3 linked regions of the Oryctolagus cuniculus genome follow. The protein of the gene in region 3 interacts with the protein of the main gene of each other region in a pairwise test. Links are inferred from orthologs where the notes say so. Each region holds a gene or a part of one and is shown on either strand. Other genes may lie near its edges.

The links. The genes of interacting proteins can lie anywhere in the genome.
Region 1: the proteins of PEG10 (region 3) and retrotransposon Gag-like protein 8B interact in binary tests that used the Homo sapiens proteins (3 or more experiments, as listed by UniProt). The two-hybrid records come from large-scale screens. The link is inferred for Oryctolagus cuniculus from reciprocal best matches to the Homo sapiens genes PEG10 and RTL8B.
Region 2: the proteins of PEG10 (region 3) and retrotransposon Gag-like protein 8C interact in binary tests that used the Homo sapiens proteins (3 or more experiments, as listed by UniProt). The two-hybrid records come from large-scale screens. The link is inferred for Oryctolagus cuniculus from reciprocal best matches to the Homo sapiens genes PEG10 and RTL8C.

The regions. Positions count from the first base shown.
Region 1 is NC_091453.1:112,832,241-112,837,466, reverse strand, and holds retrotransposon Gag-like protein 8B, read right to left. Parts: upstream 2,584-5,226; 5' UTR 2,492-2,583; coding exon 2,150-2,491; 3' UTR 1,324-2,149; downstream 1-1,323.
Region 2 is NC_091453.1:112,806,474-112,811,755, forward strand, and holds retrotransposon Gag-like protein 8C, read right to left. Parts: upstream 2,579-5,282; 5' UTR 2,492-2,578; coding exon 2,150-2,491; 3' UTR 1,324-2,149; downstream 1-1,323.
Region 3 is NC_091447.1:41,285,427-41,291,107, forward strand, and holds part of PEG10 (retrotransposon-derived protein PEG10), read right to left. Parts: intron 4,537-5,681; coding exon of another isoform or gene 4,407-4,536; coding exon 3,318-4,406; coding exon of another isoform or gene 2,137-3,317; 3' UTR 1-2,136.

The sequences.
Region 1 (5,226 bases), on a different chromosome or scaffold from region 3:
GCATCAGAACAGTGCCCTATAAGACTCCATATGAGTATCATATATTTTATTAAAATATTGTATTTTGTTGACCAACAATTACTGAGGGAGTACAGTCTTTTTGCAACACCAAATATGAAATTAAGCTGCACTTAAATAATGAGTGATAATGATTTCTCTGCTCATTAACAGAGTTTATATATACTTTTAATGCTTTTTGTATCACAAACAAGGTTTGTAAACTAAATGAACAATCTCATGTCTGCATTTGTTACACTTCTTATAATACCAAGGATCTGGAGATGCTTCTTTAAAACACTTGTATAATTCCACTCATTTTCTAAATAATGGACTTTTTTGTGTGCTTTAAAAATATTTATTAATGTATTGATAAGTGAACAATATTGATGAGGATTAAATAAATTCTGAAAGGAATGATTAGGGATTATGAGAACCATACAGGTTAATGTCCATACTAAACCACTTGGCATACAATTAGTCAACAATTATAATATTTCCTGTAAGCAAAATATTTACACAGTAACTGAGAATGTCTAAATGTAATTATTTTGCTCAAGATGCTAAAATATAAAGCATTTTTTTAAAAAGAATTTTACCTCTTTTAGGAAAAATCCTACTTTGTTTCCATTGATTATTGAATTTGATTATTCTGTGATTCAGTTAAACATAGCTATGGCGAGAAAGAGTCAATTAGGAGATTTTTGATTGCTTTACTTTTAATAGTTTGGGGGAGAATAACACAGGGCTAAAACATCCTCTGGCTCCCCCTTTTAACTGGCCAGTCACTCAGACTGCCTTTTCACATTAGTTAGCTCACCTCACTGGTGATCCCTTGGGAATTTGCAGAAGTGCACAGCATCACTGGAAACTAAGAAAATGTTCAAAATGTTTCTTGGGATTTGAAAATGAAAATAAAAAAAATCAGAGTAAATAAAACTTTCACAGCTGCTTAGAAACAATGAGTGTATAAATTTTATATTTTATAACAATTTGAGACTTGGGCTTTCAAATAACTTTTGAGAAATAAGGAAATCATTTCAATGAACCCTTATGGATGAATTCTCAAATCACCTAGGGGAAAAAAAGAGAAGTAAAGATTCATTTCCAAAGAGCTATGAAACATTTCTAATAGCATTATAGGATTCAGCACCAGCGACAGAATGCTCAGTGGTAGGTTCTCCATCCCCAGGACCACGGCAGGAGTGGAATCTTGATTTAGGATGGTCCAAAGAAACACTGAAACAGGTCATGCGGTTTCTGAACAAGATACAGACCCGCTTTGTAGGAGCACGGAGGGAAAGGTGGCACACTCAGTGAACGCAGTTTCTTATTGGACAGGGTCTGACATTTATTGAAAGAATGGAAAGACTTCTGTACAGGTAGTGTAAAAGAGCCGCGAAGACCACAGGGTCATAGTGTGGGACACAAGGCACACATCAGAGAGACAGCTGCACGTTCGGAAGAACCGGGACTCGGGGGGGCGGGGAGAACTACTGTCATGTCCACGGGAGGACGTGACAGGCGCGATTCAGCGCCCAGACCCTCAAGGTGTCTCTGGGAGGAGGGGGCGCGGCCTCACTCATGGTGGGAGGCCGGCTGGCCCCGCCGGGCAGCCGGCTGTCGGAGTCGGGGTCCGAGGGCCGCGGCCAGCCCAGACCCCTCGGAGGGGAGTCCAGGTGGCTCAGAAGAGCAGTCTGTCGGCGGGAGGCCGGGGGCGGCGGCGGCGGCGGCGGCGGCGGCGCAGGTGCGTGGGCAGAGCGATGCGGGCTGGCGGGGGGCGGCCGGCGGTGCGTGGTTGGTCGTCGGCCGCGCGGCGGGGGCCCAGCCTGCAGCCCGAGGGCCGGACGGCGGCCCCCGGTGCAGGGCACAGGCCGGGCCGGCGGCAGCGGGCAGGGCGGCGGCGCTGTCCAGAGCCAGGCCCAGAGGCAGCAGCGCCAGCCTGGAGCGCTATTCCTGGAACAAAGGCAAGCACGACGCGGGCGGGCGGGCGGGGGCGAGGGGACGCCGCGGCGACTCGGGGAGCAGGGGGGCGGCGGGACTCGACTCGGGCGCGAGCGCGGCGGGGGCCGCCCGCGGCGACCCTGGCGGCGGCCGGCGGGCAGCCCACCCTCCCCAGGGCAGCCGGCCCCGGGCCCGAGGCTCCGGCGGCCTAGAAGTCCTCGTCCTCCTCCCAGCCAAAGACGCGCTTCATCTCGGCCAGAAAGCCCCGGTAATCACTGAGGAGGGGACTGTCCTTCTTGATGTAGGGGATCACCCACTGCAGGGCGGGCCCCGTGAGGCGGGTGATGAGGAACGTCACCTTGAGCGCGTCGCTGGAGAACGTCTTCTCGTCCACGAACATGTAGGAGCCCGTCTGCACGATGAACTCCGGCAGCCGGTCGGTGTCGCCGTCAAACGTCTCGGGAAAGGGGATCGGGTTCCTCCAGCGACGCGCCGCGGGCCGCAGCGGCCGGGCCAGCAGGGCCTTCACGAGCCGCATGCGATTGTCCATCGCGCCGAGCTGGCTGGCGGGGCTGCGCGGAAGGCTGCGCTCGGGCGTCGCGGCGAGGACTCGTCGCGGAGGCGGGCCCGGGGAGGGGCGGGTGTGGGCGGAGTCACGCGCCGGGCTGCGGGCGGCGCGCGGGCCCGCCCACCAGGCCGAGCGGTCGGCACGGCGCAGGCGCGTGTCGGGAGCCAGCAGCGGCGGGGGGAGAGGGAGGCGCGGCAGGGGGCGGGATAGGGGCGGCCGGGGGCGTGGCCAGCCCTGGAGGAGGCGGAGTTGGAGGCGGGAGGGGGCGGTCCCAGGCGGGCGGCGGGCGGCGGGCGAAAGGCGGGGAGCCGCGGAGGAACGCGACACCCCAGATGCGTGTGGCGAGGCTGGGGTCTGCTGCTCTTGGACAGCTTCTGGTTCCACTTGGGGAAGTTAGCGAGTCCGGGGGCGTCGCCCTTCGTCCTCCCTCACTCCGCGCCCTTGCGCATCCCTTTGCGGATCTGGGCTCTGGCTGCCTTTTGAGGGAGGGTCTCTGAACACATGGTGCAACTCGGTCGTGTGTCTCAGCCAGAGAGGTGTTGACTCTGCAACATTACAGGCCAACCCCAAGTACTAGCGCAAAGTAATTACACCCTGAGCAGCTACTGTACGGAGGGTTGAATGCAAATAAATACCTTAATTTCCTGCAGTAAAATTCGGTGTGTGATTTACCTAGTTCAATCACTTGTCTATGGCACAATCCTGCCACGAATTATGAAACACGAGACACCTATTATCCCTTCAACACCTGTTTTTCCCCTAAATTTCATACTGTGCTCCTTGCACAGCACGTCAGCAGTTCTGGACTATTTCAAGGACGTGGAAAATGCATGTGTGTGTAACGACAGTGGCAATGCTGTAGAAGGGAGAGGGAGCATGAGGGAAGGGACAGGAGCACAGATGTTCCTGTGCAGGCATGTGGAGCCGGTCCTGATTTAAAAACAGCTTTGCTGGAGAAGGTGACTAGGATGGAGTTTCCAGAAAACTTCCTTTGCCCTAAACGGGGCCTGTCGACCAGACCAGACGTTTGAACGTTAGAGTTAGGAGATACATAAATGACTATAAAAGCAGTAGAAGGGAGAATAATGCTTCCATTTAGCTTCAGTTTGCAGCATAGTCTCTTTAACTGTTGGTAGATCTATATAGACCACTGAAGTACCAGAAGTGCCTTGAAGGATAGTCAGAAAAACACTAAACATTCAACCTATCTATTTTTCTTTTTTTATTTAGTAAATATAAATTTCCAAAGTACAGTTTATGGATTACAATGGCTTCCCTCCCCCATAATTTCCCTCCCACTCGCACCCCTCCCATCTCCCGCTCCCTCTCCCAGTCCATTCACATCAAGATTCATTTTCAATTATCTTTATATACAGAAGATCGATTTAGTATATATTAAGTAAAGATTTCATCAGTTTGCACCCACACAGAAACACAAAGTGTAAAATACTGTTTCAGTACTAGTTATAGCATTACTTCACATTGGACAACACATTAAGGACAGAGATCCTACATGAGGAGTAAGTGCACAGTGACTCCTGTTGTTGACTTAACAAATTGACACTCTTGTTTAGGGCATCAGTAATCACCCTAGGCTCTTGTCATGAGCTGCCAAGGTTTTGGAAGCCCCCTGAGTTCACCGACTCTGATCATATTTAGACAAGGCCATGGTCAAAGTGGAAGTTCTCTCCTCCCTTCAGAGAAAGGTACCTCCTTCTTTGATGACCCGTTCTTTCCACTGGGATCTCACTCACGGAGATCTCTACCTATCTTTAAGAGTAACAGGTCTTCATGGCTAGGAAAATTTTCTAAACAATAGCATGACTCTGGGATGGATCTTTCTAATGTTAAATGTGGGAGAATTGTAATAAAATGTTTACAAGGTGATTTAGAGAGACTAGAAAATTACACAGCGTAGAACACAAATGAATCAAGGCAATACTATTTAGACTATGGGCCCGATAATCCAGTAATTTAAAATAAAGATTTATATTTATTTTTAAAAGCAGAATTACAGAGAGTGGCAGATGCAGTGTGTGTGTATGTGTGTGTAGTGTGTGTGGGGGTGTGTGTGGGTGTGTGTGTGTGTGTGAGAGAGAGAGAGAGAGAAAGAGAGAGAGAGAGAGAGAGAAAGGAGAGAGGGTTTCATCCCGGTCTCCCACATGGTGGCAGGGGCCTGAGGACTTGGACCATCTCCTGCTCTGTTCAATAGCACATTAGCAGGGAACTGGATAGGAAGTGGAGCAGCCGGGACATGAACTGGCACCCATAGCTGATGCATGCATTGCAGGCGAGGTCTTTACCCACTATGCCACAACCCTGGCCCTGAAAACCTAGTAATTTTGAAATCCTCTGGAAACTATGACTCTTATTTATAAGTCATTTATTTGTTATTAGCTTCATACACTGACTGCTTTTCATTCCACAGACTATAGAATCCTACAGCCAGCCCTTAAGCATTCTGTGCTTCATTGTCAATTCTGTTGCTGAAATTTACAGTAATCAATTTGTTCTAGGTAACTGGAAGCTGACAACAAAAGGTGTTTAATCTGGCCCCTGACATTGTTCAATAGTTTTTACTATTTGATGTCTGAGACTGATTTGCTGCATACTCTTTGATTTAATAAAGCCATTAGGAGTTTGTAGTTTTTGTTTTTTAAATGATTCCCCCAAACGGTAGAGTTAGAAACGTGCCAGGGGACTCCAATACAATCCCA
Region 2 (5,282 bases), on a different chromosome or scaffold from region 3:
CATAAAAAACTTCACTTTGTTAAGAAATCTCAGTTTTCTCGGATTTTTAGAAAGACCTTGACATGTCAAACTGTGAGTTAATGATGTTTCCAGGTTTCTGGGAATAAAAAAAATATCACATATAAAACACAGCCAAATAATGTACCTTCAAGCTCTACATACAACCCTACAAATGACTGCACATGAATGACAGAATTTTACCTTATTTACCTTATTGTTTGTCAATTAGACAAACAATAAAATGTAAAACACCTCTTGGGCATTATTCTACATTCATATGGTTTGGAAAAGCACACACACTAGAAGTGAGGATGAGAGCAGATTCAGTGTTACCTTATCAGCCCACTTCAGGAACATCTGATTCTGTTGGGATATTTAACTTTTCCCAGAGACAGATGAGGTAACAAAGACTTTTCAGGAGAGTAAACCTAAGAGATTAGCATGTATAGAAACAGGTAGGTATAATTTTTTCTCCATCTTAAGGAAACCTAAAATTGTACTATTCTGCAGATTACAAACCAAATTTCTACCTACATTAACAATATGCCTGGGAAAGCAGTGGAAGATGGCCAAAGTACTTGGGCACTGCACCCACATGGGAGACCTGGATGAAATTCCTGGCTCCTGGCTTCGACCTAGCCCAGCCCTGGCCAATGTGGCCAATTGGGAGTGTAAACCACTGCTTTTGCTTCTCTGTAACTGCCTTTCAAATAAATAAATAAACAAATCTTTAAAATAAAAAAGAGGCTACCTGGTTGAACTTTCAAATCACCTTTGGCCATAAATGAGGTACACATCAATTTCCAAAGAGGCTTACAACATTTCTAACAGGTTTAGAGAGTTCAGCAGCTGGGATTGAATGGTCACCAGTGAGGTCTCCATTCCCAGGACAACCAGAGGACTCGATGTAAAGGCCATATGAACCATCGAATGTCAGCGCATATGGATTTGTTTTAAGACTTCTTTATTATTTTATTTATTTGAAGGGAAGAGTGATAGAAAAGCAGACAGAGGGAAAGAGAGAACTTTCATCTGCTGGTCCACTTCTCAAATGGCTGGGCCAGGAGAAAGCCAAGAGCCAGGAACTCTACCCAGTCTCCCACACAGGTGGCGAGGCCCAAGCACTTGGGCCATTTTTTCTTGCGTTCCCAAGCACATGAACAGGAAGCTGGATGGCAAGAGAAGGTGGGGTTCCAACCAGAACCCCAGTATGGGATGGCAGAATTACAACTATGCCATGCAGTCTCAAATGTGGTTTTGAAGAAAATATGGACCGATTTGGCAAGATCACACAAGGAAAGGTGGCACACTCAGTGAACGCAGTTTCTTATTGGACAGGGTCTGACATTTATTGAAAGAATGGAAAGACTTCTGTACAGGTAGTGTAAAAGAGCCGCGAAGACCACAGGGTCATAGTGTGGGACACAAGGCACACATCAGAGAGACAGCTGCACGTTCGGAAGAACCGGGACTCGGGGGGGCGGGGAGAACTACTGTCATGTCCACGGGAGGACATGACAGGCGCGATTCGGCGCCCAGACCCTCAAGGTGTCTCTGGGAGGAGGGGGCGCGGCCTCACTCATGGTGGGAGGCCGGCTGGCCCCGCCGGGCAGCCGGCTGTCGGAGTCGGGGTCCGAGGGCCGCGGCCAGCCCAGACCCCTCGGAGGGGAGTCCAGGTGGCTCAGAAGAGCAGTCTGTCGGCGGGAGGCCGGGGGCGGCGGCGGCGGCGGCGGCGGCAGCGCAGGTGCGTGGGCAGAGCGATGCGGGCTGGCGGGGGGCGGCCGGCGGTGCGTGGTTGGTCGTCGGCCGCGCGGCGGGGGCCCAGCCTGCAGCCCGAGGGCCGGACGGCGGCCCCCGGTGCAGGGCACAGGCCGGGCCGGCGGCAGCGGGCAGGGCGGCGGCGCTGTCCAGAGCCAGGCCCAGAGGCAGCAGCGCCAGCCTGGAGCGCTATTCCTGGAACAAAGGCAAGCACGACGCGGGCGGGCGGGCGGGGGCGAGGGGACGCCGCGGCGACTCGGGGAGCAGGGGGGCGGCGGGACTCGACTCGGGCGCGAGCGCGGCGGGGGCCGCCCGCGGCGACCCTGGCGGCGGCCGGCGGGCAGCCCACCCTCCCCAGGGCAGCCGGCCCCGGGCCCGAGGCTCCGGCGGCCTAGAAGTCCTCGTCCTCCTCCCAGCCAAAGACGCGCTTCATCTCGGCCAGAAAGCCCCGGTAATCACTGAGGAGGGGACTGTCCTTCTTGATGTAGGGGATCACCCACTGCAGGGCGGGCCCCGTGAGGCGGGTGATGAGGAACGTCACCTTGAGCGCGTCGCTGGAGAACGTCTTCTCGTCCACGAACATGTAGGAGCCCGTCTGCACGATGAACTCCGGCAGCCGGTCGGTGTCGCCGTCAAACGTCTCGGGAAAGGGGATCGGGTTCCTCCAGCGACGTGTCGCCGGCCGGATCGGCAGGGCCAGCAGGGCCTTTATCAGCTGCACCCGACCGTCCATTTCGCCTTGCTTGCTCTGCTGGGCTTTGCTGGCTCTGCAGGGCTGTGCAGAGGTCAGCAAGCAAGGAGGCGTCCCCGGAAGTGCGTTTCCACGGAGGCGGGTCTAGGCCCAGGGTGGGCAGGGCCAGGGCGGGGCTTATTCACTTCAGTAGCTTTTGCTTGCAAATCTGAATGGTCACTAGTCCGCAGATGCGTCTCGCGCTAGGGCAGGGAAAGTGGGAACGGGGGTGGGTGGGTGTTGAGGGGGCGGGCCAAATACCCTGAAGGAGGCGGGGTCGTAATTGAAGGATGGGCCTGAGTTTTCCCAGGGGGACTGCAGAGGCGGAGCGGGGATGGGGGATGAGCCCAGGAGATTTGGGATTGAGTGTTGAAGGCGAGTTCGCTAATCTGCGACAGCAGATTTCAAGTTCTGAAAGTTGATGAGTCCTCTTGCTGCCCTCCTCCACGTCCCCCCCCTCATCTTTTTCTTGGGTATTTCTAGGCAGACCCTTGGCTCCGGATGCCTAGAATGCAGTTCTGGGATACTGCTTCTTCATGTATCTTTCAGCCAGAGAAGAAATGGCTCCCTGGCAGCAGATATGGTGGTTTTGCAGTATCAACAGGAGGGCCCCCAATGTGAGCAAATATCGTCCAGGACAGAATATTAAAATAATAAAGCACCATGAGCAATTAATATAAGGCAGGTTAAATGTTAAGAAATCTCAATTTATTATAAATGCTAACCATAATTGTTACCTATTTTGCTGATCCATAGGCAATTCACGACATTGCTGCTAGCTCTAAGGCTTGCAGGAGAGATACAGTGATTCTGCTTGCAAAATGCAGTCATGTATAATGTAACATAATCATTACAATAACAGATCACCACCTTTTTCATATTGTATTGTTTAGAAGCCAATTGCATTCCCCATTAACCACTTAGGCATTAAGAGGGCAACATCCGAGGAACATCTGAGCAACCCCTGAGAGAGCTGGCCAGCGGTGTGCTGCTCCTCCGCGGAAGTGGGGAAAGCGGCGGGGGTGCCGCCCCTCTGCGGAGGCGGGGGGGGGGGGGGGGGGACGGCAGCTAACCTGGAAGGGCAGCAAACCCGGGAAGGGCCGAGCAGACAAAAGAACAGCGCAGGGTCTGGTGTCGTTCCTCCGCGAATTAGGGAGCGACATAATGGGATGGAGGCCACTTGGAGTCCGTTTGCTACAGTATGGCCATGCCACAGTTGGTAATTTAGCCGCCTTTTGAAGGGCATTCTGCATGTTTCCATGTTTTGGCAATTACAAATGAATCAGCTATAAACAATCATGTAAAAATATTTGCATGAGCATATTTTCACTTCTCTAGGGTAAATACCTACAAGAAGGATTTCTGTGTCACATGATTCAAAAAAGAACTGTCATTCAACCAGGAGTAGAAGGGAACTCCTAAATCTGATTAAAGGCATCTATAAAAATAATCCCGTACAGCTAACATCACAGTTAAACTGGGGAAACTAGAATATTTCTCACCGTCAGTTCAAGAGTAAGGCAAGTAAGTACACTCTAAACACTTCTAGGCAGTGAAGTTAGGAAAAAGCAAGTAGGTAAAGGAAAAAGAAATAAAAGTTTGGACTGCAAGAAGGAAAGCACTTGTTATTTGTGGACAACATGATCTCTAAATAGAAAATGGATTCTTGAAATATGTTCATTGGTGTACTCCTTTCTGCCCAAGGATGCCACTGAGGAAGCATTATCAAAATCTCTCTCACTGCTGCTGTCATGTCTAAGCCATAGTCCCCTAAAAAGCTGGAACAGCTTTGGAAGCTCTCCATCAGAGGGTTGAGCTCTAAAACAACTGATGAGAGTCTGACGAGCCATTTTGAGCAATGGTGACCGTGTGGTAATGAGGTCAAACTCCACAGGTTCCAGGAACTGTCATCTATGCCACCATGAAGGAGGTGGTGGCAGCTATGACTTAAAGACCACACAAGGTGGATGGAAGAACTGTGGAACCAAAAATGGCTGTCTCAAGCCTCTCAAAGATGGGGGAGGGGGCACCTAACTGTGAAAAAGATCTTTTGTCATCGCATTAAAGAAGACACTGAAGAACATCCCCTCAGAGATGATTTTGAACAGTGTGGGGAAATCGAGGTAATTGAGATCATGACTGATTGATGCAGTGGCAAGAAGAGGGGTTTTGCTTTTGTGGCCTTGGATGACCACGACCCTGTGGATAAGACTGTCGTTCAGAAATACTGTGCTGTGAATGGTCAGAACTGTGAAGTGAGGGAAGCTCTGTCCAAGCGAGAGATGGTTAGTACGCTTCACTTACCCAAAGCAGATGAAATGGTTCTGGAAATATTCATAGTGATCATGGTGGGTGGTTTTCGTGGCAATGGAAACTTTGGTCATGGAGGAAATTGCAGTGGTTGTGGTGGCTTTGGTAACCGCTGAAGTGGTGGTGAATGTGGTGGCAATGGGATGGCTACAATGGATGTGATAACGATGAAAGCAATTTTCGAGGTGGTGGAAGCTACAGTGATTTTGGCAATTACAATATCAATATTCAAATTTTGAACGTATAAAGGGAGGAAAATTTGTAGGCAGAAGCTCCAGCCCCTACAGTGGTGGTGGCTGATATTTTGCCAAACCACAAAATCAAGGTGGCTATAGTGGTTCCAGCAGCAGCAGCAGCAGCAGCAGTAGCTTTGGCAGAGGCAGAAGTTTTACTAACTTCCAGGACACAAACCTTAACCAGAGAGTAGAACCAGATAAGTGGTAGGCAAGTTTTGGATTACAACAGATTTGTGAACTCAGCCAAA
Region 3 (5,681 bases):
CTGGGTGCTGCAGGCAAAGGCCGGTGTCTGGGCACTCTGCAGCTTGAAGTCAATCAACAACTGTTAAGTCTGACACTGAACAGTGTTGAGTTCAAATGTATGGAGGATGGACTGATTTGAGGTAAACTGAAGTAATGCTTCAAAATAGTCCAGAAGCACAAATGCACCATTTTAAAGGTAATTACTCTAAACACATGAGGACAAGCTTTCTAATTCCATTGAAGAAAAAAGGGAAACTGGTTTTAGATTAAACAAGTAGCCAATTAGGCTTCCTCATTGAACTTGTAGGTCCTTTTTCTGTGATTTTTAAAGGTCAATTGATAAATTGAAATACTTAATATTAAAAGATTAAAGATAAACAATTGTACAAATACTTCAGTTTTGAGGAGCCACACATTCACAGTGTTGTAAGAAATTCACAGTAAATTAACACTTTATGCAAAGCTATACCATCATTTTTACTTAATTTATCAATAAGAATTAGTCCTTTGTAATTCAATGGAAATTTCTGAAAGCACAGTCACCACTTGAAAACACTGCTGAGGGTACACTACTACAGCTCAAAGTATTTAAACATGCAGGAGGAAAGGGGGGCAATACACATGTGAAGGATGTTGATGAAAAAGTAAACTTCACCATCAGACTCCTCTTCATGGCAGCAATTTAAAGGTAAGCGATACTATTTCTACTGCTCAAACTGCTTGTTGGCAATGGGAGGCCTGTGTGTTCAAACACACGCTCCTTGAAGCCTGCCTCTTCTTTTGCCAGGCAGCAAAATGAAGTCTCAGCAACCAAGCAGGAAGATGACACAAATCCTGCATCAGGGTTAATGGCAGTAGTAAAGAATCAAACACAAAGAGGTTAGACAAACACTTCAAGGTAATAGCAAGGGACCAGGCTAAAGAAGTCAGGCAGTCCCAGGTTAGCACAGAGCGTCCAGCTGACACCAGAGGGGTCACTGGATTGGCAACAGCTGTGTGTGAGGCCTTTCACCCAATTTTTGAGAGCTTCATGTTGGCTCCATCACCTGGAGGGATCCTTTCAAAGTGGTTACATCAGGTCACCCTGTTGAATGAAAAAGCTCACCAGGAAGGTCAGTATCCTCAAGACAATTTCTCTTCCTCAAAGACATCCATCCCTCCCTTGTACAGGAGTGTGGGTCTGAGTGCAAAATCATTGCCCCTCTCTCAGCATCCTAAAATGGTACAGTCCAATGAGGGAACTGAGGATGGAATGCCCAGATGCGTATGGAGGCACACACACAGATAGATGTTTCCAAAACTGTAAGCTGCTGCTGTTGCAACCCGTCACCAACACTCGTGAAAACTCCCTCTGAAAGACCACTAAAAGTTGGAAACAAGGAACTCTGAGTCTCTTAAGAGTTGGGTACAGGGTTTAGGAGTCCTATCCACTCGCTGTTCTTCGGCCCACGCGCGTCATTGAGAGGTGGTCATGACACGTCACAGACACGGAACGCTTGGTGGAAGCTGTTCCTGGCGTGGTGATGGTACGATGCTGTGTCGATGCTGTGTCGAGCCAGAGTTCTTGGGTACGTGTGATTTGCACCAGGGTGTGAAGGCACACTCTTAACGCGCCAGAGTCTCTGATAGAGCACTTCCTTTCCAGGCCTGAGGTGTTTCCTGTTGCAGGGGTTTTGCCCGCTCCTGGGAGAACCGGTCGAGTTGCTGCTCCTTGAGAATTAACGGAACCATGAACGTGGAGCTCGAAGAAGGTGAAGTTTCTGAAGGTGCAGCACTAGCATCACGGAAGCCTCTGCCCACTGCACCAGTAAATGCGGCTTCCTTCATAAGGCGCGGGTCCTCCAGGGGTGTAACTCAGAGGACCGAAACTGCGAGAAGTCCTGTCCTCCTCCTCCGCTCCCCCTCCTCGGAGAAGTCAGCATTTCCTGTGTGGGGTCAGCTTCTGGGTTCAGAATTTGGCAGCTAGAAATCCGGGTGGTGACGGAGGCTGGAAGGTGGACTCCCGCGAGATGGCAGTCGGGGCAGAGCGCAGCGGGCAGGCGCTGGCCGATGCCTGACCTGCGGCACCGGCGGCCGCCTTCAGCACACAGTCACTGACGGGGAAGCTGGACAGGAGGAGGCCCGGAGGGCGGGGGTCCCGCGGCCTCGAGCGGGCTCACAGGGAGCTGTAGGACGACGGCGGCGGCGGGGGCGGCGGCGGCGGCGGCGGCGGCTGCGGCGGGGGGTACTGCGGCACGGGGGGCTGGCGGTACCAGTGCGGGTTCCAGGTGATCATGACAGGGATGTAGAGCGCTCTTCCTTGTATGTCTCGGCCCACTGGGTACCAGGCGTAGCCCACAGGGTAGGCTGGGTACGAAGGGTAGGCATGGTACGAATGGCACCTTTGGCACAAATGATAAAAATGGCATGAATGACAAGAATGGCAGCAGTGCACATGATGTACACACTCGGTGTAGGTGGCCAGATGGGCTTGGTCTTCCAGGTTGGGGAGGGACAGACGAGGATACTGGTTCTGGATGGTGAAGTTGTTCGGAGTGCGGCAGTCGTAGGACACCTGCAGCTTCCAGCCCCTCTTGACCTGCAGGACCTGGGCCCCGTTCGGGGCGATGGTGGGGGTGATGAGCCCGTCCTTCACGTTCCTGGCCACGAAGTTTCGCAGCGCCGCCATCTCATGTTCCGACAGGGTATACACGTGCCCGCTGGGGATGCTGTGCGCTCCTGGGATCATCTCTATGCCGGGGTCCACCAGCCGGTGGTCTGGGTAGACATGCTCGTCGACTGGGGTGTAGACATTCTGCACATAGTAGTAGCGCACCGGGTGGTACACGCGGTAGCCGTCCACCGGGTAGTAGAGGTGCGGCTGGGGCGCAGTCGGCAGGTGCGTGTACAGGCGGCAGTGGTAGCGGCAGTAGTCGGAGTCGAAGACGATGGAGCGGGTACTCCAGGTGATGTTGGGGTCATGTGTGCTCAGCCAGCGTACGCCCAGGACCACGGGGAAGAAAGGAGACTGAGTCACGTCGAAGGACAACACCTCTCGGTGGTCTCCCATGTCTACAATCAGGTCGTGAGTTTCGTAGACGACCGGGCCGGACGCGATGGGGCGCCCGTCGATCGCTTCCACGAGGATTGGCCAGTCCTTGATTCTCAGTGGGATTCCATTTTGGGTGACGTATTCGTGGTCGATGAAGTTCCCGGAAGCACCAGAATCGATCATGGCTCGAACAAACAGGGTGTGTCTGCCCGGAAGATGGATCTGGAGCATCACTTGCAGGTGTGGAGATGAGGCATCATCTTGTGGGGACCTTATTATTTCTGGCCCGGTCGCTGAAGGTCCCTCTACAGCGGGGCCGGGGAGTTTCCCGCCGGCGAGGACTTGGAGGCCTTGGCAGGACAGTTGTCGGCGTAGTGGCCACCGGTGCCGCAGTAGAGGCATAGGTTCAGCTTCCTGCGGCGCTCCTTCTCTTCTTGGGTGAGGCGCATGCGGGCGCCCCCCACGGGCTCGGTGGGGTCCACCTGGTGGTTGCCTGACACGTTGGGAAGCACAAGCGCACGCGGCGGGGAGCGGGGCTTGCGCGCCGCAGCCGCCCGGGCCAGCCGTCTCTCGATTTGGATGCACTGGCTGATGAGCGCTGACAGGGACTTGGCCACCTCCAGGTGGGACAGCTCCTCCTGGATGTGGTCGCTCAGGCCCTCGTGGTACTGGTCGATGAGCGCGGGCTCGTTCCAGTCCAGGTCCTGGGCGATCATCTGGAAGGCGTTGGAGTAGTCGACCACCGAGCCCATGCCTTGGCGCAGACGGCGGATCTTGCGCTTGGCGGCCTCCCGGCGCTGGGGGTCTTCGAAGACGTGCTTCATCTCCATCATGAAGGCGGGGTAGTTGTGCATCAGGTAGTGTGAACGTTCCAGCTTGGCTGAGGCCCACCGCGCCGCACGGCCCGTCATCATGCTGGTGACGAAGCAGACACGCACACGGTCCACGGAGAAATCGCGGGTGCTCTTTTCCATGAAGATCTGGCACTGGGATATGAAGGGCGCCAACATGTCCGGGTTGCCATCAAACTTCTCCGGGAGGTCCTCGGGGCACTCCTCCTCCACGGGGGGTGGCGGGGCAGCAGCTGCCGCGGCCCCGCGCAGCTCCAGCTCGTCTTCCTCGGCCTCCTCCTCGGCGGCAGGGGGCTCCACCTGCTCTCGCAGGGTGCTGTTCTCCTCCGTGAGCTTCTGCACCTGGCTCTGCAGCTGGCTGTTCTCCTCCGACTGCCGGATGACCTTCTCGCGCAGGTTGTTGATCTCTTCCGACAGCTCGTCGCGCCGCCGCTCGGTCATGTTGGGCACGCAGGGGCTCTTGTGGCCGCTGGGCTTGGAGTTGTTGTTGTTGTTGTTGTTGGGGGGAGGGGGAGGGGGAGGCGGTGGGCAGTCGGGACCCATGGCGACGGTGGTGGTGGTGGTGGTGGGAGGAGAACTCCCAGCTGCCTCTTCGCTCCTGTGAGGATGGAGGCCCGGATCCTGGCCTCCACGTGCACCCCTTCTCCTTTTTGTTTTCAAAACCCGCTTATTTCTGCAAGTGAAGATAAAGGTACAAAATTCAACATACACATCCAAAGCAGCGCATATGCAAAGATTTAAGTTTGAAACTTCTCCTTAGTCCTGTCAATAATATCAAAGAAAACACACTTCCTGAAGAAAAGAGAAAGAAGGAACCAATCAGGACAAGAGTTTTAAAACAGGCATCCACCCTTGGATGCCAAGTGACCTTTTCCTCTCAAAACCGCATCAACAGCACGCTTTTACACACTACACAAGAACCCTGGCACACCCCACACAAGCACTTGTGTTCGAGGGAACAGACCAAGAAACTTCCAAGGCAAAGACGGACACCTCATACATTATGCAAAATAAAGCCAAAATAACTTTTTGCAACTAGAGAACTTCCGCAAAAACCAGTTAAAATCCCAACTGATAGGGAACCACAAGAAAGAAGGGGGTACTACAATCAGGATTCCTGTATTCATCAGGCCTGCGGTCACGACCCTGGTCCACCTGTATAAAGGTTAAGTGACTGTCAAATCAAACCACCACACTGCCACCAAAACCACAAGACTAATGACTTTTCTGACCACAATTTAACTTGCCCAAGAGAATTCTCTATGGGACAGAAATGACACCCAGTAGAAATATGTATATGCCAGTCTGCCTAGTCATTAAGTAGCCATTCAATAACTATTAATTGATGCCTCATTGGAAGGGCTGGGCTATAAAATGGGACAAAGCCCAATAATAGTATACCTCAAACTTGTAATTATGAGGTTTTAATTAAATAATGCAGGTAAATCACATAGTGAACATCCAATGGTGTTTAGTTGATCTTAATAAAATTACTAATTGGAAAATGGAAAGGCAACTTCCTATATAAAGAGGGAGGGGCTGCTCCCCTAAGGGCTGAGTGGGTGGGTGAGGGTGAGGGGTGGGGGTTTAGGGGCCTGCCTGTGATGACAGTAAGTCACACAGCAACAGATCCTGACACAATGTCTGCCAGTATACTTCCTGAAAAAAGGGTAAAATGTTTTGAGCGATTTAATTATTTTAAAAGTTCAATGATCTCAAATCTCATGTTTGGAAATCTTAAATAATAAACAGCTTAGAAGTTTGAAACCTAACATGTAAAAGTTTTAAAAACTTTAATTAAAAAAGTTTAAGTTTCTG